Arabidopsis thaliana: one gene and its partners. The protein of the gene in region 1 purifies or fractionates together with the protein of each later gene. This does not show direct contact. Each region holds a gene or a part of one and is shown on either strand. Other genes may lie near its edges.

What was found.
Region 2: the proteins of ACO1 (region 1) and MS2 fractionate together in Arabidopsis thaliana (co-fractionation; one large-scale study listed by BioGRID). This does not show direct contact.
Region 3: the proteins of ACO1 (region 1) and CHL-CPN10 fractionate together in Arabidopsis thaliana (co-fractionation; one large-scale study listed by BioGRID). This does not show direct contact.
Region 4: the proteins of ACO1 (region 1) and ATMS1 fractionate together in Arabidopsis thaliana (co-fractionation; one large-scale study listed by BioGRID). This does not show direct contact.

The regions. Positions count from the first base shown.
Region 1 is NC_003075.7:16,971,704-16,980,792, reverse strand, and holds ACO1 (aconitase 1), read left to right. Parts: upstream 1-2,631; 5' UTR 2,632-2,843; coding exon 2,844-2,847; exon of another isoform or gene 2,848-2,999; coding exon 3,000-3,104; intron 3,105-3,210; coding exon 3,211-3,371; intron 3,372-3,475; coding exon 3,476-3,568; intron 3,569-3,659; coding exon 3,660-3,845; intron 3,846-3,929; coding exon 3,930-4,091; intron 4,092-4,213; coding exon 4,214-4,358; intron 4,359-4,472; coding exon 4,473-4,615; intron 4,616-4,712; coding exon 4,713-4,769; intron 4,770-4,869; coding exon 4,870-4,949; intron 4,950-5,029; coding exon 5,030-5,105; intron 5,106-5,346; coding exon 5,347-5,532; intron 5,533-5,615; coding exon 5,616-5,683; intron 5,684-5,767; coding exon 5,768-5,886; intron 5,887-5,972; coding exon 5,973-6,094; intron 6,095-6,185; coding exon 6,186-6,284; intron 6,285-6,373; coding exon 6,374-6,853; intron 6,854-7,194; coding exon 7,195-7,293; intron 7,294-7,367; coding exon 7,368-7,610; intron 7,611-7,717; and 3 more. Other genes in the region: AT4G35820 (2-oxoglutarate (2OG) and Fe(II)-dependent oxygenase superfamily protein), read right to left, coding at 8,364-8,550, 8,652-8,751, 8,855-8,952, 9,041-9,089. UniProt on the Arabidopsis thaliana protein: Catalyzes the isomerization of citrate to isocitrate via cis-aconitate. Contributes to oxidative stress tolerance. May have a role in respiration.
Region 2 is NC_003074.8:954,639-962,269, reverse strand, and holds MS2 (methionine synthase 2), read right to left. Parts: upstream 5,409-7,631; 5' UTR 5,135-5,408; exon of another isoform or gene 4,981-5,134; intron 4,693-4,980; 5' UTR 4,669-4,692; coding exon 4,319-4,668; intron 4,219-4,318; coding exon 4,131-4,218; intron 4,034-4,130; coding exon 3,906-4,033; intron 3,811-3,905; coding exon 3,419-3,810; intron 3,314-3,418; coding exon 3,150-3,313; intron 3,064-3,149; coding exon 2,983-3,063; intron 2,876-2,982; coding exon 2,709-2,875; intron 2,616-2,708; coding exon 2,510-2,615; intron 2,428-2,509; coding exon 1,975-2,427; intron 1,899-1,974; coding exon 1,530-1,898; 3' UTR 1,238-1,529; downstream 1-1,237. Other genes in the region: AT3G03776 (hydroxyproline-rich glycoprotein family protein), read left to right, coding at 7,047-7,070, 7,162-7,237. UniProt on the Arabidopsis thaliana protein: Catalyzes the transfer of a methyl group from 5-methyltetrahydrofolate to homocysteine resulting in methionine formation.
Region 3 is NC_003071.7:18,418,552-18,423,829, reverse strand, and holds CHL-CPN10 (chloroplast chaperonin 10), read left to right. Parts: upstream 1-2,998; 5' UTR 2,999-3,319; coding exon 3,320-3,413; intron 3,414-3,505; coding exon 3,506-3,564; intron 3,565-3,647; coding exon 3,648-3,698; intron 3,699-3,822; coding exon 3,823-3,888; intron 3,889-3,965; coding exon 3,966-4,016; intron 4,017-4,110; coding exon 4,111-4,140; intron 4,141-4,240; coding exon 4,241-4,309; 3' UTR 4,310-4,460; downstream 4,461-5,278. Other genes in the region: AT2G44660 (ALG6, ALG8 glycosyltransferase family), read left to right, coding at 1,003-1,728, 2,042-2,248, 2,329-2,566, 2,649-2,998; AT2G44640 (TRIGALACTOSYLDIACYLGLYCEROL-like protein), read right to left, coding at 4,767-4,946, 5,031-5,278. UniProt on the Arabidopsis thaliana protein: Functions as a co-chaperone for protein folding in chloroplasts.
Region 4 is NC_003076.8:5,932,764-5,940,790, reverse strand, and holds ATMS1 (Cobalamin-independent synthase family protein), read right to left. Parts: upstream 5,754-8,027; 5' UTR 5,588-5,753; exon of another isoform or gene 5,423-5,587; intron 5,036-5,422; 5' UTR 5,021-5,035; coding exon 4,671-5,020; intron 4,582-4,670; coding exon 4,494-4,581; intron 4,226-4,493; coding exon 4,098-4,225; intron 3,992-4,097; coding exon 3,600-3,991; intron 3,499-3,599; coding exon 3,335-3,498; intron 3,237-3,334; coding exon 3,156-3,236; intron 3,059-3,155; coding exon 2,892-3,058; intron 2,798-2,891; coding exon 2,692-2,797; intron 2,600-2,691; coding exon 2,349-2,599; intron 2,265-2,348; coding exon 2,063-2,264; intron 1,965-2,062; coding exon 1,596-1,964; 3' UTR 926-1,595; downstream 1-925. Other genes in the region: AT5G17930 (MIF4G domain-containing protein / MA3 domain-containing protein), read left to right, coding at 1-187, 277-660.

The DNA of each region.
Region 1 (9,089 bases):
AAAGATAGAAGCAGAGAGTTATAAAGAAAAGGTTATTTATAGTTTAATAAAATAACTTCTTCGTTTTTTACATAAATTTTTAAAATGTGTTAGATTTTAATTATAAGAAAACTACGGGAGATATTTAGATTGTCTGAATAATACCAAAATATGGTAGGGTCGATCATTTTCGAATCATACAAGCAATCAGAAGAAACAATTAGATACGAAACAGAAATAATTTCTATACATGTTAACTATTTGAGGAAATCTCAAAATCTTATTTTGATTCTTCCTTTCCTTTTATAGTAAGAACCTTAATATGAGCAATACTTTATTGTTATACCAAACTAAAATGGGTACGGTGAGACTTTGTTATTGTGCTATTACGTGCGAGAAGCTGAATGATTACCCTTACCGTTTCTGTATAATTGTATTCCAAGACTCTGTGTTTTTCGATCTCTACAGTGGTAAGCCGATTAATTAATCATTTCAAGAGATAATTAGTTGCAGCGTATGTCTCATCTAATGAGTATTTGCATGATCGGATCATTTATATAACTTTGAAATTTTCATATTTCTTTATTTAGTCAAAATAATAATAATAATATTGTTGATATGTAAAATTTCAAAAGATGGACAGAAATAATGACATATAGTATTTATGTTTACTGAATATATTTGACAAGGCTCTATGACGATTTTTTTTAACATACTGTATTTCTTAAAAATATCTATCTACCTTAGATAGTTGACATGATAAAAAAAAAATATATATCTACCCCAATATATTTCACCTGTATTTTAATTTATAGACATTATGGGGCAATTAATGGTCCAGAAGCTGGTCCCATGAGTGATTAAATTGAAATCTAAGCATTTGCATGATATATAGTTACGTGTCACTTACATACATGTCTTGTATTGTTTAGTTTCACTGCTGAGAGTGAGTTTCTCTATGTACTGTAATGAACTTGGCCGATCGTGTTTTACTAGTTTTTCTCTTGAAAGAAAAATTCGTATTACTGGTACTTGGACTAAAATTTGGTCTCCACACCACTCTCCTCTAATCATTTTACAAACAATTCTATATTTGAGAGAGGATATTATTGAACATGATACAAATTAAATAATATTTTATGAGTACGTATTTGCATCTTGTGAGAAAGAATTAAGTGTTTTCTAAGGGAAATATTAACAATGGGTAAGTGAAAGTAACAGAATGTTTTACCTATAAGGATGTATAATAATATAAAGAGAGAGGAAAAGAAAAAGCCAAATAGACAAAGAAGATATAATTATGATTGGTAGGTTATCTACATGCTGACCAAAGTCACATTTTTACCGGTGGTGCGTCTTTGTGTTGGCGTGATTGATAATTTAACCCGGCCACCACTTGCATCTGCTCCTTAATTTATTTGTAATTGTATGGAAGCATCATCAAATCAACTCCATAAATATAAGATACTTTATAAGCTTTCGTCCATATTAAAATAAACAATTTTTTTTTTTTATAACTTCTTTCTTATTGATATTAGCTTAAAAGATCGTATAAACAAACTTATATACGATCAAACAAACTAAAAAAGAGAGTTCTTTATCAAAAACAAACAAACTAAAAAGAGACGATAAATGAAAGAGATAACAATAGTATGTAATTGTCCTTACATAAAAAAAAAATATGAGCCACGCCAAATCTAAAACGATTTCGTTAAACATATATAGTTCTCGATATTTATCAACAAAGACGATGTAATTCGTAATCTATATACGTACATCTTCTTAACTTTTTTAAAAATATAAAAAGGTGCTTCAGATTCAAGGGACTGAAACTAGTGAGGTTTCTTAAAAGCAGATATATACACTGACCACGTTCAGGTTAATAGTTAGTAGATTTTTAGGTGGATAGTAATATATTGATGGACAATATTTAAATACAGACTATAAAATTTAAGAGACTTGAAGTGTTCCTAAGAGTAAATTTAATTATACATTTTAATCATGGCCTGAAAAACTAAACAAGGAGGGGTAGAATAATTAATCATCTCAGCAGCTTTCCATCTGGACACACCATTCAGCTAAACGACATTGTTTAATCTCTAACCAAACTGGGCTAGACCGAACTGGGTACAAAGATGGGTTAAACTGGGCTAGGCCCAAATTAATCAGAACATAAATTTCGAACGGAGCGACCCATTTCCAAAATAAAAAAATGTTTTTTATATATATATATATATATATATATTTTTTTTTTTTTTAAATCGTTGCATGCAGGTTGGTGGCGATATTTTTTGGTTTTGTCACCAGGTGGTGGTGAAATAAACGACGATCATTGAATATTTTTGGTGTCTTGTATATGTTTGTGTCATTGTGTGTATTTTTTTTTGGTGTGTTGTAACGACGATCATTGATTGTATATGTTTGTCAGAAATTAAGGTTTTTTTAATCAATCAATGCCATGTGAAATTGAGAAACCTTGAAGAAAATTGGATTACATAAAACTAGATACTATAGAGAAGAGGCACATATCAGATTGGTGGATTATAAGTTTGTGAAAATAAAATCATGATTGAACAGATATAATTCACTTGATACAAAAAAAAGCAAAGAATGGATATTCACAAAAAAAAAAAGTTGGATAATTAAGAAAATAGAATATAAAATAAAAATAAAAATCAAACAGCCATCAGTTCTGACGAAAAGAGCCCACCACGGATCTGTCAGATTTATTTCCTTCTTACATATAAAAAAAATCTGAATCGGCTCAGGCTCGTGTAGCCTCACCAACTCCGCTTATAAACTTTCTCTCTTCTGAAAACAGATCTCTCTACTTTGCTTCTTCACTCGACTTGTATCTATCATCCATGGGTATCGATTTATCTGTTTACGATCCAAAATGATTCATGTTTCTTATTTCTTCTTCTCGCCGATGCTGATTTTCCAGCTATTTTTCGTTTTTTTGAAATCTGGTTCTGTATTTTGATTTGCTGTGTGGATCTCTGTTTCTGATGTGTTTTCAGCTTCCGAGAATCCTTTCCGAAGCATATTGAAGGCGTTAGAGAAGCCTGATGGTGGTGAATTCGGTAACTACTACAGCTTACCTGCTTTGAACGATCCCAGGATCGGTGAGTTTCCTTTTATCTCTGATAGATATTATAATATTTTGTTAGAAGACGTTGTTATGATCTCGTTGGTGAGAGTTTTATGAGAGAAATGTTGTGGTGGATGCAGATAAACTACCTTATTCCATTAGGATACTTCTTGAATCGGCCATACGTAACTGTGATGAGTTCCAAGTTAAGAGCAAAGATGTTGAGAAGATTCTTGATTGGGAGAATACTTCTCCCAAGCAGGTTGAGATTCCGTTCAAGCCTGCTCGGGTTCTTCTTCAGGTAGACAATGATTGGTTGCTATACACATTCTTGATGACATAATGATGTTTCTGATTTCCTGAAAATGCTAGAATGTGATATCATTTTTTCTATTTGTTTTTCAGGACTTTACTGGTGTTCCTGCTGTTGTTGATCTTGCTTGCATGAGAGATGCCATGAATAATCTCGGTGGTGATTCTAATAAAATTAATCCGCTGGTTAGTTTCCTCGCTTTTTACTGAGATTGGTTAATGATTTGTGTTCTTTTGGTATGCTATAAGGTTTGATACAAGGCCTTGATAATTGCAGGTCCCTGTAGATCTTGTCATTGATCACTCCGTTCAGGTGGATGTGGCGAGATCAGAGAACGCAGTGCAGGCAAACATGGAGCTTGAGTTCCAGCGTAACAAGGAAAGATTTGCTTTTCTTAAGTGGGGATCCAACGCCTTTCACAACATGCTTGTCGTACCTCCTGGATCTGGAATAGTTCATCAAGTAAGTAGAGGATTCAGGGACAACGGTATTGCTTGGAAACTTAAAGTATTTTTATGCTAAATTCTATAATTTTGCAATTGACAGGTCAACCTAGAATACCTTGCCAGAGTTGTTTTCAACACAAATGGACTTCTTTACCCAGACAGTGTTGTTGGCACAGACTCTCACACCACTATGATTGATGGACTGGGTGTTGCTGGATGGGGAGTTGGCGGTATAGAAGCGGAAGCTACCATGCTTGGTCAGGTAAATCAGATGCTCTTTCGGTCGAGAACTCATAGCTAACTGTCTAACCTCTTTCTGAAACTTTGGTTCTAAACTACATCCTTTCAATAATTCTAATAGACTTTCCATCTCTTTATATGCAGCCAATGAGCATGGTCCTACCCGGTGTTGTGGGTTTCAAGCTAACGGGAAAGTTAAGAGATGGAATGACAGCTACTGATTTGGTCTTAACAGTGACTCAGATGTTGAGGAAACATGGAGTAGTTGGAAAGTTTGTTGAATTCCACGGTACGTTGATAAAAGATTTGATATCATATTTCATATATGTCTCTTATTTACTTACATAGTACCTTACCGAGTTAGGCTAGCTCACATATGCATCGACTGCTTTTTCATACACAGGGGAAGGGATGAGAGAATTGTCTTTAGCTGACCGTGCTACAATTGCCAATATGTCTCCTGAGTACGGTGCGACCATGGGATTCTTCCCAGTCGATCATGTCACTTTGCAGTATCTAAGGTTGACAGGCAGGAGCGATGACACTGTAAGAAAATGCACAAAATGTCACATTTGGGAAAATCTTCATTATTTAGTGTGTTAAAGACTTTCATAATGGTATTGATTTGTGAATTGGATTGCAGGTCTCCATGATAGAGGCGTATTTACGAGCAAACAAGATGTTTGTGGATTACAGTGAGGTAAACCTTGGGCATCCTTAATACTTCATTTCTTATGCCTATTGTCATATATCATATTTGCATAACATATGCTTCACTTGGAACTTGTTGCACATCTCAGCCGGAGAGTAAGACAGTTTATTCCTCATGTCTGGAATTGAATCTCGAGGATGTGGAACCTTGTGTTTCTGGTCCCAAGAGGTACTATTAGTGAATGATTCGACAGAAAATTATCTAGGATCCATTCTACTTACAATGTCTATTCTCTGTGCACAATACAGGCCTCATGATCGTGTTCCTTTGAAGGAAATGAAAGCGGACTGGCATTCTTGCTTGGACAATAGAGTAGGATTCAAGGTTAGTACTCTCCTTTCTGTTGAGAAGATGTGAATGCTTGCAGTCCCGAGAGCTTAATTTGTAGGAAATTATGACACCTCTAGCTATTGTTACTGTAATTTTGAAAGAATGGTACGTATTCGAGTCTTTAAGCGGGTCCAATAAACTAACTTGTACGTTCTGCAACACTTCTGAATTTATAACCTACTTCCATTTTTTCAAAAATAGTGGTTAGTGATACTACTTATCCATGATTTTCCAGGGTTTCGCTGTACCTAAAGAAGCACAGAGTAAGGCTGTAGAGTTCAATTTTAACGGGACCACAGCACAGCTTAGACATGGAGATGTTGTTATAGCAGCAATCACCAGTTGCACAAATACTTCAAACCCTAGTGTAATGCTTGGCGCTGCCTTAGTTGCAAAAAAGGCCTGCGACCTAGGACTGGAGGTTTGACTACTTGTGTGATAGTGATTTAATATCTTTATGTGCAATGGAAATAATAGAAGTGTTTGAAATTTCTCAATTATTAGGTTAAGCCATGGATCAAAACTAGTCTTGCTCCAGGCTCTGGAGTTGTAACAAAGTACTTGGCAAAGAGGTGCTGCAGATACACCGTTGAATGTTTTGTTATTTATTTCCTTATCCTTTGTATTGTGTGGTCCTGAGTTTTCAAGTCTTGCAGTGGCTTGCAGAAGTACTTGAATCAGCTCGGCTTCAGTATCGTTGGTTATGGGTGCACCACATGCATTGGAAACTCGGGGGATATCCATGAAGCTGTGGCTTCAGCAATAGTTGATAATGGTAATTCCTTAAGTAGTTAATGAAGTAATGCTTCTTCACTTGAATTTTCGAAGGTCAAACTAAAAGATTTCTCATATATGTACAAGACTTGGTGGCATCCGCTGTGTTGTCTGGGAACAGAAATTTTGAGGGACGTGTTCACCCGTTAACAAGAGCTAACTATCTAGCTTCCCCACCGCTTGTTGTAGCCTATGCTCTGGCTGGAACTGTATGTTAATGCTAACTCTAAAGCCATTTCACAACATTCAAGCATTCTTGTTATATGAAGCACAGAATCATTCACATGAATATTCTTGTAGGTTGACATTGATTTTGAGACACAGCCCATTGGAACTGGGAAAGATGGAAAACAGATATTTTTCAGGGACATTTGGCCCTCTAACAAAGAAGTTGCTGAGGTAAATATATATGGGCTACTTGTGTAATACGTAAACAATGAGATATTATAAGTGGAGGGGATGCCAAATTCTCTGTTTCGATTTTTCAGGTTGTTCAATCTAGTGTCCTTCCTGATATGTTCAAAGCTACATATGAAGCAATCACCAAAGGAAATTCCATGTGGAATCAGTTATCTGTGGCGTCAGGTACTCTCTATGAGTGGGACCCGAAATCAACTTACATTCACGAGCCGCCTTATTTCAAGGGCATGACCATGTCTCCACCCGGTCCACATGGTGTGAAAGACGCATACTGTTTACTCAATTTTGGAGACAGTATTACCACTGATCACATCTCACCAGCTGGTAGCATCCACAAGGACAGTCCTGCGGCTAAGTACTTGATGGAACGAGGTGTGGATAGAAGAGACTTCAACTCATACGGGAGTCGCCGTGGTAATGATGAGATTATGGCGAGAGGCACTTTTGCAAATATCCGTATTGTCAACAAACACTTGAAAGGAGAAGTTGGTCCCAAAACAGTTCACATTCCCACTGGAGAGAAGCTTTCTGTTTTCGATGCTGCCATGGTATAATCTCACTTTTTTTTTTATCCTTTTGAAAACATCAAATTCAAGCTCTTTGGTCATGAGGTTGGGGTAGGATTACGATAAGCTTTGAATAAGCACTACAGCTCTACTCTTAGCTATAGGTCTACTGTATCTAGCCTAGGACTGAATGTAGTAGATTAGAGCTGTTGTGAGTTGGTTTATAGAACAGTTAGTGAAGGCTGAGGTAATAATAATGTCTCAGCAGATTGTCTTGGGGGTGGAAATTTTGTTGTTTGATTCTCTGATTTGGTCAGTTGGAATTAGAATAGCAGTTCATAGCTTTGTTTTAATCAGATTATTCTCTCCTCGTGCTGTACCAGAAATATAGGAACGAGGGACGCGACACAATCATTTTGGCTGGTGCTGAATACGGTAGTGGAAGTTCTCGTGATTGGGCTGCCAAGGGTCCAATGCTTCTGGTACATTTTCTGTATTTAACAAACACGTTCTTACACTTATTTTATGCGGTTTCTTTAAAAAATTGTGACAACAGGGTGTGAAAGCTGTGATTTCAAAGAGCTTCGAGCGAATTCACCGAAGCAATTTGGTGGGAATGGGAATCATACCTTTGTGCTTCAAGGCGGGAGAAGATGCTGAGACCCTTGGCCTAACGGGTCAGGAGCTTTACACCATTGAGCTCCCAAACAATGTTAGTGAGATCAAACCAGGACAAGATGTAACAGTCGTCACAAACAATGGCAAATCTTTCACATGTACACTCCGATTTGACACAGAGGTAAGTTATCTCTAGATGATATATTTTCGTCTTTTCGTCTTTGAGTTTTTTTTTTAGCTCTAAAACAAAATGAGATGAGATAAGTAAGAGGAATTTGGAATCGACAGGTGGAGTTGGCTTATTTCGATCACGGAGGGATTTTGCAATACGTTATCAGGAACTTGATCAAACAATAAATCTGGTAACACCAGAGACTTGAGTTATATATCCCAAGGTTTGTTGCAATAAAAATGTTTGCAGGGAGGAGGACGAGAATGACTTTAATTTAAACTTTTGCTTTTGTTCTTCTTCGTCTCTTGCTTCGTGCTAGTCAATTGGAAACATTATCACTGTCGAGTCATTTTTTTTCTTTCAAATAAACATGCGAGCTCTTTTTTTGTTGTTGTTGTTCATAAGCATTGTCAATGCTGCATTGATAGAAGTATACTCTACCATTAGAAAATAAACACAAATACACAAAGTAATCTAAAGAGCTAGAGGATGAAAATTATCTTGTGAAGGTTGTACAAAAACATTAAAAAAAATCTGAGATGATCCAAAGGATTGATTATCACATTCGAAGTGATGGTCAGAGATTACCTCTTGGAATGTTGTGTAGAGTTGATGAACTTATGAGAGCGGAACCATTTGGTTGATGCCCACTTGGTTCCTTTGATTACTGGACTCCCACCTAAATCAAACAGACAAATTTTTGAGAAATTTGTTTTACATCTCATGATCTCAAACAAGTTATAATTAAGGGTTTATTACGATTTAAAACAAGTTTAGAGAAAGGCAATGCCTCTTACCATGCTTACTCGAAGGGTCTCGAGACCCGTCGGGTCTCATGCTCCAAAAGAGTAAAGCGTCTCCCTTCTTCGGTCTAACAGAGACTCCTTTTTTACTTTTAATTCCTTTGGCTTCAGGGAAAACTGTTTCGCCGCCTTTATCAACATCCGAGCTAATTAGTCATACGATGAGAAAAGAAAACAAGATTAACTTATGCAAATATTGTAAAATTTTTACATGGCTGATGAGAAAGATTATAAAGGGTTTACATACAGATACATAAGAACCGTAGCAATTCTTTGAAATCCGTCAAAGTGAGGCTCAAATTTCTGCCCAACTTCATAATTGATAACTTGAAGCGTTTCTCCGTTTTCTGCACATAAATTACATAAAACTTCACAATAATGTAATGATCTTAGACCTTGTTTGGTAAGAAAATCCAAACTATGGCCAGTTTAAAAACAGAAGCCACATACCTTGAGGAATGAAGGTGAATTCTGAAATCCTTTTCTCAATCTCTTTGACGATTTTGTCATGTCCACTTCTAATAAAAGTTCCTGAACTCGTCCGTGAGCTGCACATTAACATATTTCCAAATCTCAAATCTTTCCAAACTAAACTTAATTAAAGAGGGAAAATCAAATGAAAATAGAGTACATAACCTGCTTTCTTCACCAAGTCCAGTTAACGCATTGCGCACCTTGGACCTCG
Region 2 (7,631 bases), on another chromosome or scaffold:
CAGACAAGAGAGAAACCAATAAAATAAATAAAAACTAATTTTCCGTTACCTGAAATTGAACTCCGATGAGATTTAACAAGAGAGAGAGATAGAGAGAAGCGATTAAAGACAGGTATTTAAAACAGAGAGAAAGAGAAGAGGATTAAAAGAGCACAATGGAATCTTCTATGGAAAATTTCAATGTGTTAAGACAGAAGCGAATCAAAACAGAGAATATACCCTCTTCCCCATAAGAAACAGAGGCGTATAAAAAAGTTTCTGAATGAGCCAGACAGAGAGAGAGAAACGGGGAGAAGAGAGATCTCCGAGCCTAAGGGTAATACAGTAATTAAGATAGAAATTACGGCGAATGACGATAGAGTCCTTTGAAGTTGTGACGTGCTAAAGACTCGGAGAAGAGATGAAGTCCATATCTCTCTCTCCAGACACCTAACTGGTTTGCTTTACATCGTTATGACACGTGGTGACATGTGCGACACGTCAGACGTTGACAAGGTCATACACAGTCATCATATGTCTGAAACTTCTCTGTTTTTTTTTTGTAGCCTTTCAATAATTTTGTGAATTTCTGTGGCATCATCAGTTTTTCAAGAATTTATTGTGGATTAATTCTATTTTTTTTAATTAGAGGGAATGAAAATTTGAGGGACAAAATGGTAAAAGAAGTTAAACAGATGCTTAATCAAATGCATAATGTGTAAAAAAAAAAAAAAAATGCATAATGTGACGCGTCAGCTCTCGTGACATAAATCGGACTACGTGGATATCTTTGATTGGATGTTATGCCTTTTCTTTGCCAGCCAAATGTCCACGTCACGGAGCGGTGAAAGAATGTTAAGTTTAAGCAAATTTTTACTTTTACAGGGTTTTTTTTTTTGGGTTCACTTTTGCAGTGTTATTGTGTAACTTGCGTTCGGTGATAAAGTTTATAAATTTCTGGAAAAGAAATTCCACATAAAATGAAATACCGCACTTTTGGTACTTTGAAAAGAAATGCTTACACCATGCAAAAGAAATGGTTAACAAGACATGAAAATATAGTACTACTTTTGGTTCTCTGGTATACCACGTCAAGTGATCTTTACATGCACGAATCGAGCATTCCAAAGGTTCGAAACTGTGTCCTTTTTCATGGTATCAAATCAAATCTTTTTGTAGTATGGTGGATGATCTTATAACAATAATGGATTATTTTCAGCAAATTCTTTAGTTCTACAACACTAGTAGTGATTTTAAGATTTCACATTTTGGGGGCTTGTATAACAAATTAATTCGTATCCACACTTTCAAGAGATCAAAGAAGCATATATTTCATTAGAGAAAACAAAGATACATATAACATTGCAACAAGAGAAACATATAGTATAAAGCCGTAAACTCTCTTCAACGAAAGCGAGAGAGTGTGACTCCATTCCCTCAAAACCTAACTTTGGCTAAAATATTTTTCTTGGAAGAAAAGTTATTGAAACTGAACAAACACAAACCACGTAGAAAAATCCCGGAATATAGAAATAATATCTTCAAGCTCTTCACTTGGCACTACCGAGCTGGGAGCGGATAAGCTTAGCCGCGTCAACCATGGCTTTAAGTGCTGGTTTAACCTCAGTGTACTTCCTTGTCTTCAGACCACAGTCAGGGTTAACCCACAAGATGTTCTGCTCAAGAACCGCAAGCATCTTGTTGATCCTGTCTGCAATTTCATCTGTGGATGGTATTCTCGGAGAGTGAATGTCGTAAACACCAGGACCGATTCCTGCACCGTACTTCACTCCTTCACGGAACACTGAGAGAAGCTTCTCGTCTGAACGAGAGTTCTCAATGGTGATGACATCAGCGTCCATGTCAATGATTGAGTGGATGATGTCGTTGAAGTTTGAGTAACACATGTGAGTGTGAATCTAGAAGATAAAATAAAGAAGTTAGTTGCAGAAACATTCATCACTATTTGAGATTTTAAGTGTACAGTGTTGTTACCTGAGTGCTGTCTTGGACGCCACAGTTGGTGATTCTGAAAGAGTGAACAGCCCAGTCCAAGTAGAAAGAGTGTTCGGCTTTCCTAAGAGGCAATCCTTCTCTAAGTGCGGCTTCATCGATCTGAATGACTCCAATACCGCCTTTCTCGAGGTCTTCCACTTCATCTTTGATGGCCAAAGCGATCTGGTAACAGGTTTCGTGCCTGGGCTGGTCGTTTCTGACAAAAGACCAGTTGAGAATTGTGACTGGACCTGTAAGCATACCCTTCATTGGACGTTTGGTCATGCTCTGAGCTGTTGAGGACCAGAAGACTGTCATTGGCTTGGGGCGGCTCACGTCACCATAGATAACTGGTGGCTTCACACAGCGAGATCCATAGGATTGCACCCATCCGTTTGCTGTGAATGCGAAACCTGACAATTGCTCTCCAAAGTACTCAACCATGTCGTTTCTCTATAATATTGTCAAAGCATGGCTGAGTCAGAAACAGGACGTTGTAATTAGTTTTAGGGTCTAGTAAGAGACAAAGACTGACCTCAGGCTCTCCGTGAACAAGAACATCAATGTCAAGGTCCTCTTGGATGTCAACAACTTTCTTGATCTCTTCCTTGATGGCCTTGACGTAATCCTCTTCAGAGATTCTAGTAGAAGAAAGAGTTCCAGTTAGCATCACAATCAACTTACTAAACATGCTTAAATGATCAATGCAAAAAAATTATGATTAAGAGACTAACTTCTTGGCCTTGTATTCACGGCGAACTCTCCTGAGTTCCACGGTCTGTGGGAAGGATCCAATGGTTGTGGTTGGGAGGATTGGAAGGTTAAGCTTCTTCTGCTGAGCATCTAGCCTTGCGCTAACTTCAGTTGTACGGCGGTGGTCAGATCCCTTCAAAGCAGCAGCCTGAGATTGCAGGAATTACAAATCATTAGGATCAATAGAAACATATATCATACAGAGAAAACCATCATAATAGTAAAGAAAGCTTGAGTATGAAAGCAAGAACTTACAGCCTTCTGGACAGACTCATTGGTGACTCTTGGGGAAGACCTCCTCGAAGACAATGCGTCAGCGTTGGCAGTGAAGAAACTCTGAAAGAGAGAAATATTAGAGACTTGAAGTCTTTTTCAAACAAAGGGTTCACTTGGGAAACATGTTTGTAGGATTTTTACAATACCTCATTTGTCTGACCGGCCAAAGCCTTGGCCAATGCGTCAACTTCAACAACCTTCTGGGCAGCAAAAGCTAGCCACGACTTGATTTCAGCATCAAGCTTAGTCTCGTTAATAAGGTCAACGGCAGTGTGGAGAAGAGAGCAAGAGGTTGAGACCACAAGCTTGTCTGCACCAATTCACAAATAACAAAACCAACGAGTTAGAGAAAGATAACAAATTAAACACTTCTAATTGAGTAATCCACATAAGAGATTCTGGAAGAATATAATACCTTTACCAACAACACCCTCAAGTGACTGCAAGGTGATGAGAGAGGCAGCGAGGTCATTGGCCCAGATGTTCCTTCCGTCAACAACACCAGCAAAGAGGTACTTGCCCTGTGGGAAACCTGACTTGATCAAGTCAATGGTCTTGGTGCCACGAACCAAATCAAATCCGAAGGCAGTCACACCCTTCAAGGAAGTAAGGGTCTTGTATGCTTCAGCAGGGATATCAGCGAAGTAGGTCTCCACAAGAACATTCAGACCAGAGAGAGTTGATTCAAGCTCAGCATAGGCACCGCTAAAAGCCTGGAGTTTGTGACCCTCGAGATCCATGACAAAGAGAGGCTCATCAAGCTGAATCCAGGAGGCACCAGCTGCCTTAAGCTCTGCAATGACTTCCCTGAGAAAAGATTCACCATTCCAATAGTATGTCAGAAACAAATTTCCTAGCGTCAAAGAGAATAATTGAGTACTAGAGCAAAAGTAATCTCTTACTTGTAAACTGGGAGGATTTTGGGGAGAAGGGAGAGAAGATCAAATGACTTGTCAACACCCTTAGCAAGCTTGGAAAGAAGCAAGTAAGAGACAGGGCCAACAAGTACAGGGACGGTCTCAACACCAAGCTGCATTAACAACACCACATTACTATATTAGAACATTCAATACCAGACCAAAAGAAGCCTATATATGTTCAAATAGGAAAATTAGTTGAGTACGTACAGCCTTGGCCTCCTTGTACTCATTGACAGCCTTGTGAGATGCGTAAGAAAATTTCACTTCAGGGCCCAACTCTGGGACGATGTAATGGCTGCATCAAACAGAAACATTAAAAAAATACGTTAATAACACAACTCACAAATCCAATAACAATGTCAACACACAAGTTAAAGAGTAGAGAAGAAACTCACTAGTTGGTGTCAAACCACTTGGTCATCTCCATAGCTGGAACAGAGGCATTTCCTCTAGCCATGGAGAAGTAAACATCGAGACCGATCTCACCACTGGTAAATCCATATCTAGATGGAACAGCACCAAGCATGGCGGTGGTGTCAAGCACCTGGTCATAATGAGAAAAGGTGTTGCTTGGGATATACTTAATCCCAGCAGCAGACATCTGTTTCCAGATATCAGACCTGAGATCAGCAGACACCTTCTGCAAATCATCGGCACTGCTCTTGCCATCCCAGAAAGACTCCAATGCAAACTTGAGCTCTCTCTTAGGTCCCATACGTGGATATCCAACAATGTGGGAAGCCATTTTTGTTTGTTTTTTGTTTTTTTACTACATTTGAACCACAAACAAAACCAAAATCAGTCAGTAAACCAAACACAATCCTAAAATGTACTTCTTGTCATATGGTAAAAGCCACCAATCGTTAAAAAAGTAAAAAACTTTTGCAGTTTTTTTTGTCGTATTTATTGAAAACAGAGTATGAGAGAGTTTAAAGATCAAAACGAATCACAACTAGGGAAAACAGAGATCTAACGCAGAGAAAGATCGCAAAACAGAGATTTTACGAATCTGATCGTATAAAAAATCCAGATCTGTGTTTCATAGAATTTCACTCACCGGATTAAGATCTAAGTATTAACGAACGAAGAAGAAACGGAATCAAACGAAAATTGAATTGAGAAGAAAACGAAGAGACGGAAGGTAAATAAGAGAGTGGGAAGGGAGAGAGCAAGAATAGTCATGCGGAAGCCATGGAAACTCGGAAGCGTACCTTACGGAATGAGAAGAGTGGAGATGAGAGATGGGCAAAGAGAGCGACGATGGAGAGTGTTCTGTGTTAAGCTTATTTATAGCAAATCAATTACACATCGTTCCTTGGTTTCTCTCACTCACTCGTGGTGGCTGATTATTTTTCTATTTAAATTAATAATACGTACATGTACATCAAAATACGTATATTTAGGTTTTTACCCTCTCTACAACATTATACTATATGATAAATAAAAATACGTGTAATCCATGTATCCAGAATGATACTAATTTTTATCTTTCAAATTTAAGGGCACGGTCAATTATATACAACTTTCGAGAATTATACGTATAACGACGGTTTACATAATAAAAAAATGTATTTGATCATGGCATGACATTACAATTATATAAGCTGGTAGAACTTAATTCCGTTGAATTAGTACTAGTTTACTGGTAATTTTAGTTGACTTTTGTCAAGTCCTCACTGGCTAGTTAAAGCTTAAAACAATTGTTTAAGGGTTAATTAAGGGGTTAGTGTATGTTGTATTGTAAAGCGTAGTATTAATTAAGATATAAGAGCTTAAGAGGGGATTAATTATGGAATTGAAAATGTGAAGGTGGGGAGGAGAGTTGGTGTGTGTTGTTTGTGAAGAGTATACATGAGGAGAAGGAGGTAGCGGGATTGGTGGGTGGAGCCCATTAGGGAGTTGGTGAGATATTCACTTTTAATTTCATTTTTGGGAGTCAGTACCAACAATTCTTGCCACACAAATTTGGAGATTTGTTTGGTAAACAAAGTTGGTGAATGATTATGAGATCCTCCACGTCCCTCTTATGGTTTGATCTTCACATAATTTTTTTTATTCAACAATGACGTTTGAAACCTATTAACCATAAGTTGTCATAATATTCACCTTAATGAGGAATATACGTCTATAATGTATGTAAAGAAGTCTAGTATGAAATGGTAAACTAGTTCAGTAAAGAATATTCAATGCTCTGTTTGGACGACTAATACGAAAATTCTATGTTTCGAATAAAGAAGTGTATTTCTACCATCTCTTGTAACTTGTTTTGTAGCAAGAACTCTTTTTTTTAATGCTTTCACATGAGAAAGTCCGTTCTTTTGTTTTTCGACTCAAAAAACTTTAATCCATCAAGACGCTTAACAAGTAACTTCAAATTTCAAAACAAAACACAGAAATATTTGTATCCGGTAAATTTTATATTTCCTCACAATATCCAACATCGGTCTATTCCGAAGCATTAGTAGATCAGTAGATGCCTTGCTATGGTTTTGTCGGCTGTCGGTGGGATATAGATATAAAAACGCACGACCATTTAATGAGACATTTTTTTTTTCTTATTTCTCGCTAATGCCTAATGTATCATGCGTATTCGGTATTCCCAAAGTAAAAGAATTTGACAAAATGTTCCGACTAATATATACTTGTGCGTCTTGAAATATCGCATTACACATTACATACCTAATTTACTTTCAATTTTTTTTGTAAGAAAGTTAAATGAATAAACACGTTTACATATCATCAATCCTACAGAATATACTATAAGTTTTAACGGCGAGATCACATGCAAGAGACGATAAAGTTTCCATACTTTGAAAAGAGAATATGATATTCAATATATAAGGAAACTAAAAGAATTCATATATCCATAGATTGATATCTCTTATCATAAGGAAAATAAAAAATTCATAGACGATATACTGATATCCATAGATCGAAATTTTTTACTAATTAAGGAAAATAAAAAATTCATAGATTGATATCTCTTATCATCATATATCCATATTTCCAAAATATAATAAAAGAAGAAACTTTTCTTCACCACCCAAAACCTCCCAAATTTTTTGTTTTCCTAAGGTTTCTCAAGAGCAGGAACAAATAACAAAACATATCTAATCTAGATCGATGGAATCATCTTCCAATCACATGGTATGCGTAAACGCATAATAGATTGTAAGATTTGTGTATATATTTTATGTTTATTTGAAAGTGTGTATAAATCTTATGTTTTTAAGCGCAGATATGTCTTTTGAAGATAGAATCTCCTACGCCGGGATGGAAGAAATCCTTGGAAAAATTACTCAAGACAATTAATGGTTTCTTAATCTATCACTTTTCTCGTTTAATTATCTTAATTTTATCATTTCATTTCTTACTTTGTCTTCACTTCTTTTTCTGAATGCATAATGTTTTTCTTTTGTATTTATACATACATAATTTTCAAGATTTAACTTATGTGTATCGTTTGCACTTACAAAACCCAATTATTTAAAACAATTGTTGTGTATCATCTCCGGAATATAACCATGACCATCGAATTAATCTTTCGGATAGTTTTGTGTAGTCTAGAGATGATAGTACTATAAACATGTTTCCGTTTCAATCTCTTCGCTTTATCGAACAAATCGTTATTGTAGCCAGTTTGTTAATATTGGACTCTTTTTAATATGAAATGCAAGAATATATTTTCATAATTCTTCCCTTCTCTTT
Region 3 (5,278 bases), on another chromosome or scaffold:
AGAAATATCACATTTTTATGCTCTTGATTCATATTATAATCCTCCAACATGAGACTTTTGACTTTTTAAATCAAAGGTAAGAAAACACTATCATGATTTATTAAATTAAATAAGATCACGTCAAGAAAACTCAATGAATCTGAGTAAGCAATGACTCACATTACGAACGGCAAACCAATAATAAAACATTAAAAATGTATATATTTAAAGTGTATTAATACATACAAAAATAAAAGGTGTTTTCGTGATCAATTATAATAAAGTTCCAAAAAAAGAAAGGAGGTTTTACATAATTGGTTAGGACCACACAACTTGTCATCTGTCGATACAACAAGGCGTCGAGCTGACTCAGATTAATGAGTTAATGGGACCCACAATCACCTCTCTTTTGAAAGGCCCAATTATCAACGTCCTTGTCTCCCGGGCCCACGACAGCTGCCCTTGTACCCCGTTTGCCCTACTTTTTTCTTTTTTTTTTAAACTCACCTGCAGTTGACACGTGCGGTGATCCTCGCTCGTGCGCCAGCTAAGATCCGAGTTCGTGCTACGTGGCTGTTAGGTAAAGGTCTTAAGGTTTGCATGGGAATTAAAATCTGTTGTTTTGAGTCTACGGTTACTATTTGATCTTTTAGGGTCGTCGTGTATGACACGTGGCCTTAGTTACTGAAGAATGATCTCAACCGCTGATTAATTCGAATGGTCTAGCTCTACGCTATAGCCAATAGCTACTTTCCTTTTGGGCGGTTGTAATAGGTAGGTACGACTTATACACACAACGAAATATTCATAGCTAAACCGGTTTAATCCGATATAAAAACCAATTTGAACAGTTCCACGTAATGCCATGTCATATATTTTTAACCAATTATGTACTGCCATATCTACAACTCCACGTAAACTTCTGTAGTTACTAAGTGGGCCGGTTCGTGTCCCAAATTAGGCCCATATCAATGGGTTTTGTAAATCAACGGTCGCTAATGTTCCCAGTCTATCGGTGCCGAGATGGATCACCGGGAAAAGAGTGACCGGCGACTACTGCTATGGTTCTTCGCCGTAGCCACCGCCGTAAAACTCCTTCTCATTCCGTCGTCCAGAAGCACCGATTTCGAGGTCCACCGTAACTGGCTCGCTATCACAAACTCTCTTCCTCTTACCAAATGGTACTTCGACGAGACTAGCCAATGGACACTCGACTATCCTCCTTTCTTCGCCTACTTCGAACGCTTCCTCTCAATTTTCGCGCGTCTCGTCGATCCCAGGATCGTAGATCTTCAATCAGGACTCGATTACAATGCCGAATCTGTAATTTACTTCCAACGAATCAGCGTAATCGTCTCAGATCTATGTCTTCTCTACGGTGTTTATCGATTGACTCGAAAATTAGAACCGTTGAAACGAAATCTGATCTGCGCATTGGTGATTTGGTCTCCGGGGCTATTGATCGTAGATCACATTCATTTTCAGTATAATGGATTTCTACTGGGTTGGTTATTGCTTTCGATTTCGTTTCTTCAAGAAGGGAGAGATCTTTTGGGTGGGTTTTTATTCGCAGTTCTTCTATGCTTTAAGCATTTGTTCGCCGTCACTGCTCCGGTTTACTTTGTTTATCTACTTAGGCATTATTGCTGGTCTGGTTTAGTTACTGGTTTCCGACGGCTTGTAACTATTGGTGCGGTGGTTGTGGCGGTTTTTGCTGCTGCCTATGGACCTTTTATCTATCATGGACAGGTTAGTGTAGTTCTTTCCTATTCAATGTTGAAGAATATAGCCAAATTCTTTTGAGTTCAAGTTGAAGATTCTAATGTTGTTGATGTGTTTAGGAGATTGTGAATCATTTTTGTTGTTGTTTGATTTGGCAAAGAGTTAGAATTTGTTAGAAATTTTGGTGCTAGAGAGCTATTTCACTACTTTTATCAATGGAAATTATCCTAGACGAATCAGTGAATCTCTATACATCAATCAAGTCAAACCTTGTCCTAAATAGATTTATTGAGAAAACATCTTATGGTGGTAGTTTTCGTGTTCTCTCGTTGTGTTGCAGATACAGCAAGTCATCAGTAGAATGTTTCCTTTCGGGAGAGGATTGTGTCATGCATACTGGGCACCTAATTTTTGGGTTTTCTACATAATACTCGACAAAGGGCTTGCGGTTTTGCTGCGGAAGCTAGGATATGAAATTCAAATTCCTTCCGCATCTTTCACTGGAGGATTAGTTGGAGATTCTTCGCCTTTTGCAGTTCTTCCTCAGGTACTACTCTTCATGAGTATCTGTCATATCTCATGAATTGTTTCACTCAATCTTATTCTGTTGGACTGGTGCAATGACAGATCACGCCATTGACAACATTTGCAATGGTATTACTAGCTATATCTCCATGTCTCATCAAAGCCTGGAAAAAACCACACTCGGGGCTCGTTGCTAGATGGGTAGCTTATGCATATACATGCGGTTTTCTGTTTGGATGGCACGTCCATGAGAAAGCATCGCTTCACTTTACCATCCCACTTGCAATCGTTGCAGTTCAGAGTCTAGAAGATGCTAAACATTACTTTCTGGTTTCCATAGGTATATACTATTCTCTAACCAGAATCAACTTTTACGCATAATCATTCATTCCTTGTACTTAATCTCTGTATTTTTCCTGCAGTCTCTTGCTATTCGCTCTATCCACTCTTATATGAACCGCAGGAGTACCCGATCAAGGTTCTGTTGCTGTTATTGCATTCCGTGGTAATGTGGCTCGGCTTTGCAGCTCAATACACAGATTATAAGGCGCAGAAGAAGGAGACTAGTGAAATCAAGAGCAAGTTTAGGATTGGATGTTTTGAGAAGAGCTATCTAATGGGTTTGATTATAGTAGAGATAGTGTCTCAATTCTTGCATCCGTATTTTCTAGGTGATAAGTTGCCATTTTTGCCTTTAATGTTGATCTCAACATATTGTACCGTTGGTATTATGTACTCTTGGATTTGGCAGCTCCGGAAGATCCTGACATGACATATAGATAGATTCATGTAATAGTTAACTTGATTTTAGTACTACGTGAGTTTTTCCCTCCGTAGTATATGACTTTTCAGTATACCCCACGATACTGCATTACTGCTTCGGTGACTCTCAATAAAGTGCAATTGAGATTTCTCGGTTCAATAAAACATACATCGGTTAGGCTTAATAGAATAAAGATATTGGGTCTTAATAGTTAAATGGGCTGTAATATTGGCCCAATGTAAAACATAAGAAGCACTGACGAGAAAGCTGGAGCCAAAGTCGTAACGGAGGAAGAAGAAGATCTGCTTCTGCAAAAAACCTTATCCTGCTATGGCTTCCACTTTCGTCTGCTCTCTACCAAATCCTTTCTTTGCTTTTCCGGTCAAAGCAACTACTCCTTCGACGGCTAACCATACGCTTCTCGGTACTTAACTATCTGAAAGTTATTTTGATGTTTCTTCCTTTTCGGATATAAAGTTTGTCTTTTTGATAATTTGTTTCCTCGTGTTTATGCAGGAAGTCGAAGAGGTTGTCTTAGAATCAAAGCGATTTCCACTAAATGGGAACCGACAAAGGTACTGTCTTTTCCGAAAAATGTATTGGTTTCTCTGTTTTTAAAAACTGGTGATTAATCTTAGTGTTGAGGTGATAATTGCAGGTTGTTCCTCAGGCAGACAGAGTTCTTGTTCGTCTTGAAGATCTTCCTATTGTCAGTTTAGCTCCTTTATTGTCTGAAATGTCATGATTATTATCAATAAGCTATTAATTTGATGAATCACTAAATTGAATTCCATTGCCAAAAACTTATGGGCTCTTAAATTGTTATTCTGAAGAAATCCTCAGGTGGAGTATTGTTGCCTAAAGCAGCTGTGAAGTTTGAGAGATACCTAACAGGAGAGGTAAGTCATTTGCTCCTTATATGTTTTATATAACTTGTGTTAGAGCATCTTTAATTAAGAATAGAGAATCATTTCAGATTATATCTGTTGGTTCTGAGGTTGGACAACAAGTTGGACCTGGAAAGAGGGTAAATGTTTCTTCTTAAGTCAAAGACATAGTTATTTATCCATTGTAACTACCGTGAATCTTGTCTTTATCTCTTTCTCCTTTGCCTTTCACAGGTTTTGTTCTCTGATGTGAGCGCTTATGAGGTGAATTCCGCTTCTCTGCAGTGTATTTGATTAGTTGTTGTCCTGTCCTTGTGTGGTTTTAAGGAATATAGAATCGAACATCTCTGAATTTGTTTCTCAGGTCGATTTGGGAACCGATGCTAGGCATTGCTTCTGTAAAGAGAGTGACTTGTTGGCCCTCGTTGAGTGAAGTCTTGTCCAAGAGGGAGAGATTTGAAGATTTTACAAGTTTTCTGTAATTTTCAGACAGCAATTGTTGTTTCTAGTTAATCCTTCAATTTAATATCAATTGAGATCACTTTCAGAGATAGTCATATTCAAAAAAAAAAACAAGTTTTCTCTTTCTCCTTCTTCCGGTCCAACATAGCCTCCATGTTAGCAGCCTCGACTAACTGACAAAGCTCGATCATTTTATTGACTCTGTAGCGTAGAGAAATCGGACGGTCAACAATGAGAAAGTTTGGATTTTTAGGAAGTTTCCGTGTGAGAGCCGATGGAAGTGAGGATAGATCTTTCCCAAGTGGATTTCTAGGGATCGACCGCCACAAGCAATGAAGATGAACTAGGTTTTACGAAACATAAGAGTTTTTTATAGTCATGTCAAAAAAAAAAAGTTGCGATTTTTAAAACATAAACGGAGACTAAAATCAAAACTCAAAAACTCGGAGCTCGATCATGCCTTCTTTTCTCTTTGGAGAATACCAAGCCACGATTTTGCCAGACTCAAGAAGCCTCAACGAGTAATTCAGACTGTATATCACATCTTCCATGCGTGCAGCTCCTACCTGAAACTGCGAGTCTACTTTGAAAACAATCGGACCCGCAACCTGCATAACAGTGTGATTAGTGGGAATTGCTTAAACATCATAGACTCTTTTACATCTTTTGATCTTTGGACAAAAGCTTAATACCTGTTGCTGGAATATCAGGTTGAGTCTGGGAGACCACAATGTGTCGTCTGAGTTGTTACTACTTGCATGGAAGAGTTTTTTAGCAAGGGCAAAAGCTGAGGGTAGGTCCACGCGAGCATCTACTCGGGTAAGATCGCCATACAACTTACTAAACCGTCCTTTTTGGAACGTATAACAAGCAGAACCAAATACATCTGCGCTTATCGGACTCCGCTTCTTGCCATTAACCAACATGCCTCGGCCTGTGA
Region 4 (8,027 bases), on another chromosome or scaffold:
GAGTAGTGAGGACTACATCGATGCATTCGAGAAACTTCTTAGATTGGATTTGCCAGGAAAACAGGACAGAGAGATCATGAGGGTTCTAGTTGAATGCTGTTTACAGGAGAAAGCATTCAACAAGTTCTACACAGTCCTTGCTTCAAAGTTGTGCGAGCACGACAAAAATCATAAGTTTACACTGCAGGTACGTTTTTACTATCTAATAGAACCGAAGCCATGGTTATGTAACCATTCTTTTTTCTCTTATCATCTCTTGTGTTTTTTTTCCTGCAGTATTGCATTTGGGACCATTTTAAAGAACTAGAGTCGATGTCACTTCAGAGATCGATGCATCTGGCGAAATTCGTGGCAGAGATTATTGTAACCTTCAATCTTTCTCTTGCTGTTCTCAAATCCGTTGACTTAGCAAATCCAGTGGAGTTAACTCCAAAACGAATCATGCACTTTCGAATGCTGTTCGAGGCCATCTTTGAGCACCCTGAGAATCTTGTGTGGAACTTGTTCACACGCATAGCCTTGAATCCGGAATATGAAGCTCTACGAGATGGCATCAAGTTCTTTGTGAAGGAATATGTTGTGAAAAATAACAAGGCAATCTATGGGAAATTCAGGAAAGCTAAAGAAGCACTTAACAATGCAGAAGGATTACTCATGTGATCCTGTTGTTGCCACCAACAATTTTGAAGTCTCTTTTTGTTGTACACACTATCTTCTAATTTAATTAAAGTTTCTACTTTGTAAGATTTTTATCATTCACCATCTTCAATAAAAATTTACTGAAAACGATCTTAAAAGGTTGAGGTTCTTTTACACTAATTGAATTTGGTTTACTAACTAGGTTATTTTCACACAATCTTAGAGAGAAAAATAATATTAAAAACTGCAAATGAGCAAGAACTTTTCTTCGAGACCGAGCTACAATCTTTTTCTTATTTGAACTCAAAGAGACTTGAATTACTGAGATAAAACTTGAGAACATACAACATCTCAGATTTTACAGAGTTAAAACCTTCTACTTGGCTACAGTCTACAGTTCAAATGATACATAAACATCAACGAAGATGTTCTCCAAGCGAAATAAATCTTCGAGTCTAAAGTGGTGGACCATGAGACTGCAACCTAACATCAGCCACCACGCTCTTTGTGGGGCAATTCAGATTTTCTTTTTGCCAACGAAATAAAGAAATCTAAGGGAAACAACAATCTGATACAGGAGCCAGATAGAGACATACAAAGGGGCCTACTTCAAGAACAGGCTACAAAGCACTGATTGCGTCGGATAAAAAAAAGTAGTGAGTTTAGGACAACGCAAACAAAAGTATTTGTATAAGAATCAATCCTCTTATTCCTTTTCAAGATACTTTAGAAAAAAGACATTCCATCAGAGAAATATATTGGAGACAAAAAGAAAATCACAAACATTGCATCAAATCCAAAGGATGCTATAGCCTTTCTCTCTCTCAACAAGAAAGAAACCATATGCATCAAATCTACCTTCGACTAAAAATATTTTTAAGAAAGTTATTAAACCAAATAAAACACAACCATTTTAGAGAAAAAAAAACGTTTCCTTGTTCAAATCAAGCTTTTCTTCACTTGGCACTGGCGAGCTGGGAGCGGATGAGCTTAGCCGCATCAACCATGTTCTTGAGTGCAGGCTTGACCTCGGTGTACTTACGGGTCTTGAGACCACAGTCAGGGTTAACCCAAAGGATGTTCTGCTCTAGGACAGCAAGCATCTTGTTGACCCTGTCTGCGATTTCCTCAGAAGATGGTATTCTTGGAGAGTGGATGTCGTAGACTCCTGGACCGATTCCAGCACCGTACTTCACTCCTTCACGGAACACGGAAAGAAGCTTCTCATCAGACCTGGAGTTCTCAATGGTGATGACATCAGCATCCATGTCGATGATGGAGTGTATGATGTCATTGAAGTGGGAGTAGCACATGTGAGTGTGGATCTGCAAAAAAAAAACACCAGAAACACATAAGTTATGAGCAACTGAGAAAGCATTACACTACATGAGACTCGTTATGTGTAGTTTTTATTTAAGCAAACCTGGGTGCTGTCTTGGACTCCACAGTTGGTGATTCTGAAGGAGTGGACGGCCCAGTCCAAGTAGAAAGCATGCTCGGATTTCCTGAGTGGTAGTCCTTCTCTAAGTGCAGCCTCATCAATCTGAATGACACCGATTCCACCTTTCTCAAGATCCTCGACTTCGTCCTTGATGGCCAAAGCGATCTGGTAACAGGTTTCGTGCCTACAATGATTCCAAGATTGTCTTAGTGTTTTGTTCTTTATTTGGTGTTTATGTTTGTTTTTAGATTATAGTAACATTATGTACCTGGGCTGGTCGTTCCTGACAAAGGACCAGTTGAGAATGGTGACGGGACCAGTAAGCATACCCTTCATTGGGCGAGAGGTCATGCTCTGAGCCATTGCGGACCAGAAGACGGTCATTGCCTTGGGACGGCTCACATCACCATAGATAACTGGTGGCTTCACACAGCGAGATCCATAAGATTGGACCCATCCGTTTGCAGTGAAGGCAAAACCAGACAACTGCTCACCAAAGTACTCAACCATGTCGTTTCTCTACAAAATTGTGAAAACATGTCTCATCAGAAACAGTACCAAGGATTACTAGAAATATCAGGCAAAAACATAGAATAATAAAAAAAATTCACCTCTGGCTCTCCGTGGACAAGAACATCGATGTCAAGTTCCTCTTGGAGGTCAACAACTTTCTTGATCTCTTCCTTGATGGCTTTAACGTAGTCCTCCTCTGAGACCCTAGTAAAAGAGAGATTAAAGAAACCATTAGCATCACAACAATTTAAGAAAATGTGTGACGCATAAGCCCAAGGATTAAATTTAGGAGACTAACTTTTTGGCCTTGTACTCACGACGAACTCTCCTGAGCTCTACAGTCTGTGGGAAGGATCCAATGGTTGTGGTTGGTAGGATTGGGAGATTGAGCTTCTTCTGCTGAGCATCTAGCCTAGCACTAACATTGGTTGCACGACGGTGGTCAGATCCCTTCAAAGCAGCAGCCTGAGATAACAAGAATGAGAAACTATCTCAATCAATACAAGATTAGGAAAATAAACCATTGGGTGAGCACAGTGCATCAGTTTGAAATCAAACTTACAGCCTTCTGGACACCCTCGTTGGTGACTCTTGGGGAAGATCTCCTTGAAGCCAAAGCCGCAGCATTGGCAGAGAAAAGAGCCTGAAAGAAAAAAAATATTGAGTTCTAGATTTTTCTGGATCAATTACACTACAGATAATTCAAGGGTCCACTACTAGGGGAGCATGTGGGTAAAATACCTCGTCCTTCTGACCAGCCAAAGCCTTGGCCAAAGCGTTCACTTCAACGACCTTCTGGGCAGCAAACGCCAACCATGACTTGATTTCATCATCAAGCTTAGTCTCATTGATAAGATCAACAGCGGTGTGGAGAAGAGAGCAGGAGGTTGAGACCACAAGCTTGTCTGCATCAAAAAGACAACAGATCAACATTTCATACAGTTGTTTTTCAATAATTCCCTAGTAATGTCAGGTAAAAGGCAGATGATTTTGGAAGAACAATTACCTTTACCAACAATGCCTTCAAGTGCCTGCAAGGTGCTTAGGGACGCAGCAAAGTCGTTGGCCCAGATGTTCCTTCCATCAACAACACCAGCAAAGAGGTACTTTCCCTCAGGGAAACCTGCCTTGACCAAATCAAGGGTCTTGGTGCCACGAACCAAATCAAATCCAAAGGCAGTCACACCCTTCAATGAGGTTAGGGTCTTGTATGCCTCAGCAGGGATATCAGCGAAGTAGGTCTCGACAAGAACATTCAAACCAGAAAGAGTTGATTCAAGTTCAGCATAGGCACCAGTAAAGGCCTGGAGTTTCTGACCCTCAAGATCCATAACAAGGACAGGCTCGTCAAGCTGAATCCAGGTGGCACCAGCAGCCTTAAGCTCGGTAATCACTTCCCTGTACACAAATCAAAGTCATTATATCAGTGGTATGTCAGAGGATCATTGATAACATCAAGGATACGGATGGCATAATAAAGAAAAACAATAAAGTGATTTCTTACTTGTAGATCGGGAGAATCTTAGGGAGAAGAGAAAGAAGTTCGAATGACTTGTCAACACCCTTGGCAGCCTTGGAAAGCAGCAAGTAAGAGACTGGGCCAACAAGTACAGGGACGGTGTCAACACCAAGCTGCATAAACATCAAGTAAACCAGATCAGAACTTCGTAGAAAAAAAAACTACTTTAGACAACCAGTGCCAGATGACTTTTCTAACGGTTTTTATATTCAATGCATCCGAGACCTTCCTAGCATATTAGCATCCTCAGTGAAACACCACTCAATGAATCTAAGCTTAAACACTATATCCTCAAACTAAAGCCTATGATCTCTAATAGTTAATTAGACGAGCAAACAGTAATTTCCTAAGAAACGGATATTAGTAAAGAATGATACGTACAGCCTTGGCCTCCTTGTACTCATTCACCGCCTTGTGGGATGCGTAAGAGAAGTTAACCTCAGGGCCCAACTCAGGGACGATGTAATGGCTGCATCAACAAAAGCATAATCAAATTAGTCCACAACTCAAAAAGACCAATGTCAACAAAAAGAACACAAGAGATCAATGAAGACTCACTAGTTGGTGTCGAACCACTTGGTCATTTCCATGGCAGGCACAGAGGCATTTCCTCTAGCCATGGAGAAGTAAACATCAAGGCCGATCTCACCACCAGTGTATCCATACCTAGGTGGAACAGCACCGAGCATGGCGGTGGTGTCAAGAACCTGGTCGTAGTGAGCAAAGGTGTTGCTAGGGATGAACTTAGTCCCAGCGGCAGACATCTGTTTCCAGATGGATGACCTGAGATCAGCAGACACCTTCTGAAGATCCTCAGCAGTGCTCTTACCATCCCAGAAAGATTCCAATGCAAACTTGAGCTCTCTCTTAGGGCCCATACGTGGGTATCCAACAATGTGTGAAGCCATTTTGATTTTCTTTTACTGCATTAAAACACACAAACCAAATCAAAATCAAAATCATAGTATAAAATAACGTTCTCTTAATTCATAAACTTCTTAATATTAAATGATTTAATTAACAAACTCCAAGAAAACCGTAAAGCAATCACAATTCACGTGTATAAAAAGTTTGTGCAGCTTTTTGAGTCTACTACTACTACTACCACCACTTGATACTGTAATCGAAAACTTTCAGATAAAAACACATGCGACATTCATCGATCAAAAACTTTAGATCTAAACGAATACGAACACAGAAACACCAATCATTTTCAAAGGAAAGATGACGATAGATCGTAAACAGATCCAGAAACCAGATCTATAAATCGAACAACACGAAATATCCAGATCTGAGTCAAATGAACTCACATAGCGAATAGATCTCAACAAATGAGCAAACAGATCGAGGAATATAAAAAAACGAGAATGAAACGAATCACACTAAAAGCGAAGTAGTAATAATAACGTGGAGAAGGAAGGAAAGGGAGCTAAATAAGAGAGACGTAAGGAAGACATAGAAAGTCGGAGACGAACCTGACGGAGGAAGAATCGGAGAGGAGGAAGGAAAAAGGGTAGGCTAAGAGAAGGCGAAAGAGAGAGCGAGGAAGAAGAGTGGGCTGTGTGAGTTTATTTATAGCGAAAATAAACGAGATACATCATCGTTGGGCTCTGTGTCATTTCTGTAGATCTGGTGGTGCTCGATATTTTCGCAATTTTATTTATTATTTTAAATATCCCTATTTATTTATATTATTGGTGTATGTGCATTTTCTCTGAATTTGATGTTATTTTTCAACACACTTGAGTGTAGGATTATTTCTTTTTTGTCTATTGTTTGAGTTCAGTATTTTTTTCTTATATTCGTAGAAATAAGTATGTGTGCATTAGTAGAGCTAACAAGTAAGAAATATAATTAAAGTATCATATTGGTAAATTAAAAAAAAAAACTGAATTAATATTGCCATCTTTTATAGGAAAATTAAATTACCAGATGCCCCATAAGTAATTTTTTTAAGGAATTTTTGTTGGGTATGTATTTTTAGCTTGAATTTTGTTTTTTTTTTTAATTTATGAATGAGATCTTGATTAATTGACGAAAATATCTGAACAGAAAGGTTTTTCAAAAAAAATATTGGAGATTAGAAATGAATAATTAATGGTTAGTATTACTAAGGTTGAAATCATTTAATTAACTTATAATAAAAGTATATTAAGAGATTAAAACGTGAAGGGGAGTTGGTGTACGTGGGGAGATTAGTGGGTGGCAATGGGACCCATTGAGGTTGGTGGAGATTCACAATTTGATTATTTCCACAGTAAGGTTTTCTTCTATTATTGATACGACGCCGTTTCAAGTGTCAGCACGAAAGAGTATCAAAATCAAGGCCTGTTCCATAGCGTTTTGGAAACAAATCGAATTATTTACAGGGAACAATACTCCAAATTTCAGTGATACAACTCTTTCAGTTAAATATAGAAAGTCGAATAGTTGTCAAATCTATATGTATATATAGAAAGTTGAATATCTGGTAACACAATTTTACTTGAACAAGTAACAATCTTGTCTGGCCATTAGTACACTTGTGTAAGTCAGATAAAAACTATGTATGTTTTTGGTAAATAGAGTAGGTAAAGAAACATAAATTATGGACCTACTGTATATAATATAATATTATTGTTTAAGATTCATAAGACAATGAGTATACGCGATGGATTAATGGTCTTAATCTTTTTTTGTTTGCTGGTAATTTGGCTACCAAACTTTGATTCTTGACCTTTATCAACGAACCTCATTGTTTTAATTTCCTAGGTCATTTTTTCTTTCCTAACCTTAAATGTAACTTTTGGTTTGCGTAAATCATGAAAGAATATTTTTTTGTAAACATATTTTAAGTTTTATTTTGTTCTTTCAGTCTGCATTAAAAAATTTCACGTACTAGTTACCAATTTCAAAATATTTGTTTTTTTTTAACTCTATAGCAACTGAGGAAGTTTAACCATATCGTGCATAAACTACGTTATAAGCTCTTTTGCGGAATTTAACATGAATTTTCTAAGTTTGGAATATAAAATTATATTCAACCACTTCCACAACTAGTTTTGGAGTATCTTTCTATTTGTATGGAACTGGTGTAGGTCAATTTTGAGTTCACTAGGAATTTATCAAGAAGATGCTATTGCAAACAACACCAAAAAGTCAACAAAATGTTTATGTGATAAACAAAAAATTAGTACTATATGTATGTTTGATGATTTTATTACTTGGTAACTTTAACTATACATCAAACTGGTAATCACACAACAAACAAATTGAACAACATTTAATTACATGAGACTTTAAATCTGCAGGACAGTTGCATATGCTTCCTCGACACTGGTTTGTCGGTGGATGTAGATCTAGTATGTACACAAATAAAGATAATCACACAAGCATTTATTGAAAGTGAAACTCGCACTCTATTTTTTTCTTTCTATTTACTTGTTGTACGACATAAAGAATTGAATACTTTAACAATCCAAATGAAAAACAAACAAAAAAACTTTTCTTTAGGAATTATTGAACTAAATCGTATGTGTATTAGTATAACAAATTATTGGATCAATAAAATACTTGTTTACCAACCTTTTTTGGCATCTTGAGTTTGGTAATCATATGATACACGAATCACAAGATCCAAAAGTATTCTTATTGCTGGCTTATAAAACTTTATGATTAAACTATGGAAAGGCATGCTTTTAGACATGTGAAACAATAAAAACTGTATACACACACATTATGCTTTGAATCAAAAGTTGGTGATTTATATGAATATACTTGGATACTTTATTTACATAAAATCTCAAACACAAGTTCATCTTTTACCAAAAAAAAAAAGAGAGGCAATGCTTCATGTTAATAAGAGATTTACAACTAAATATGAACCACCAAAAACTATTTGTAATCTGAACGGTGTTACCATCTTCGATCGAGTCC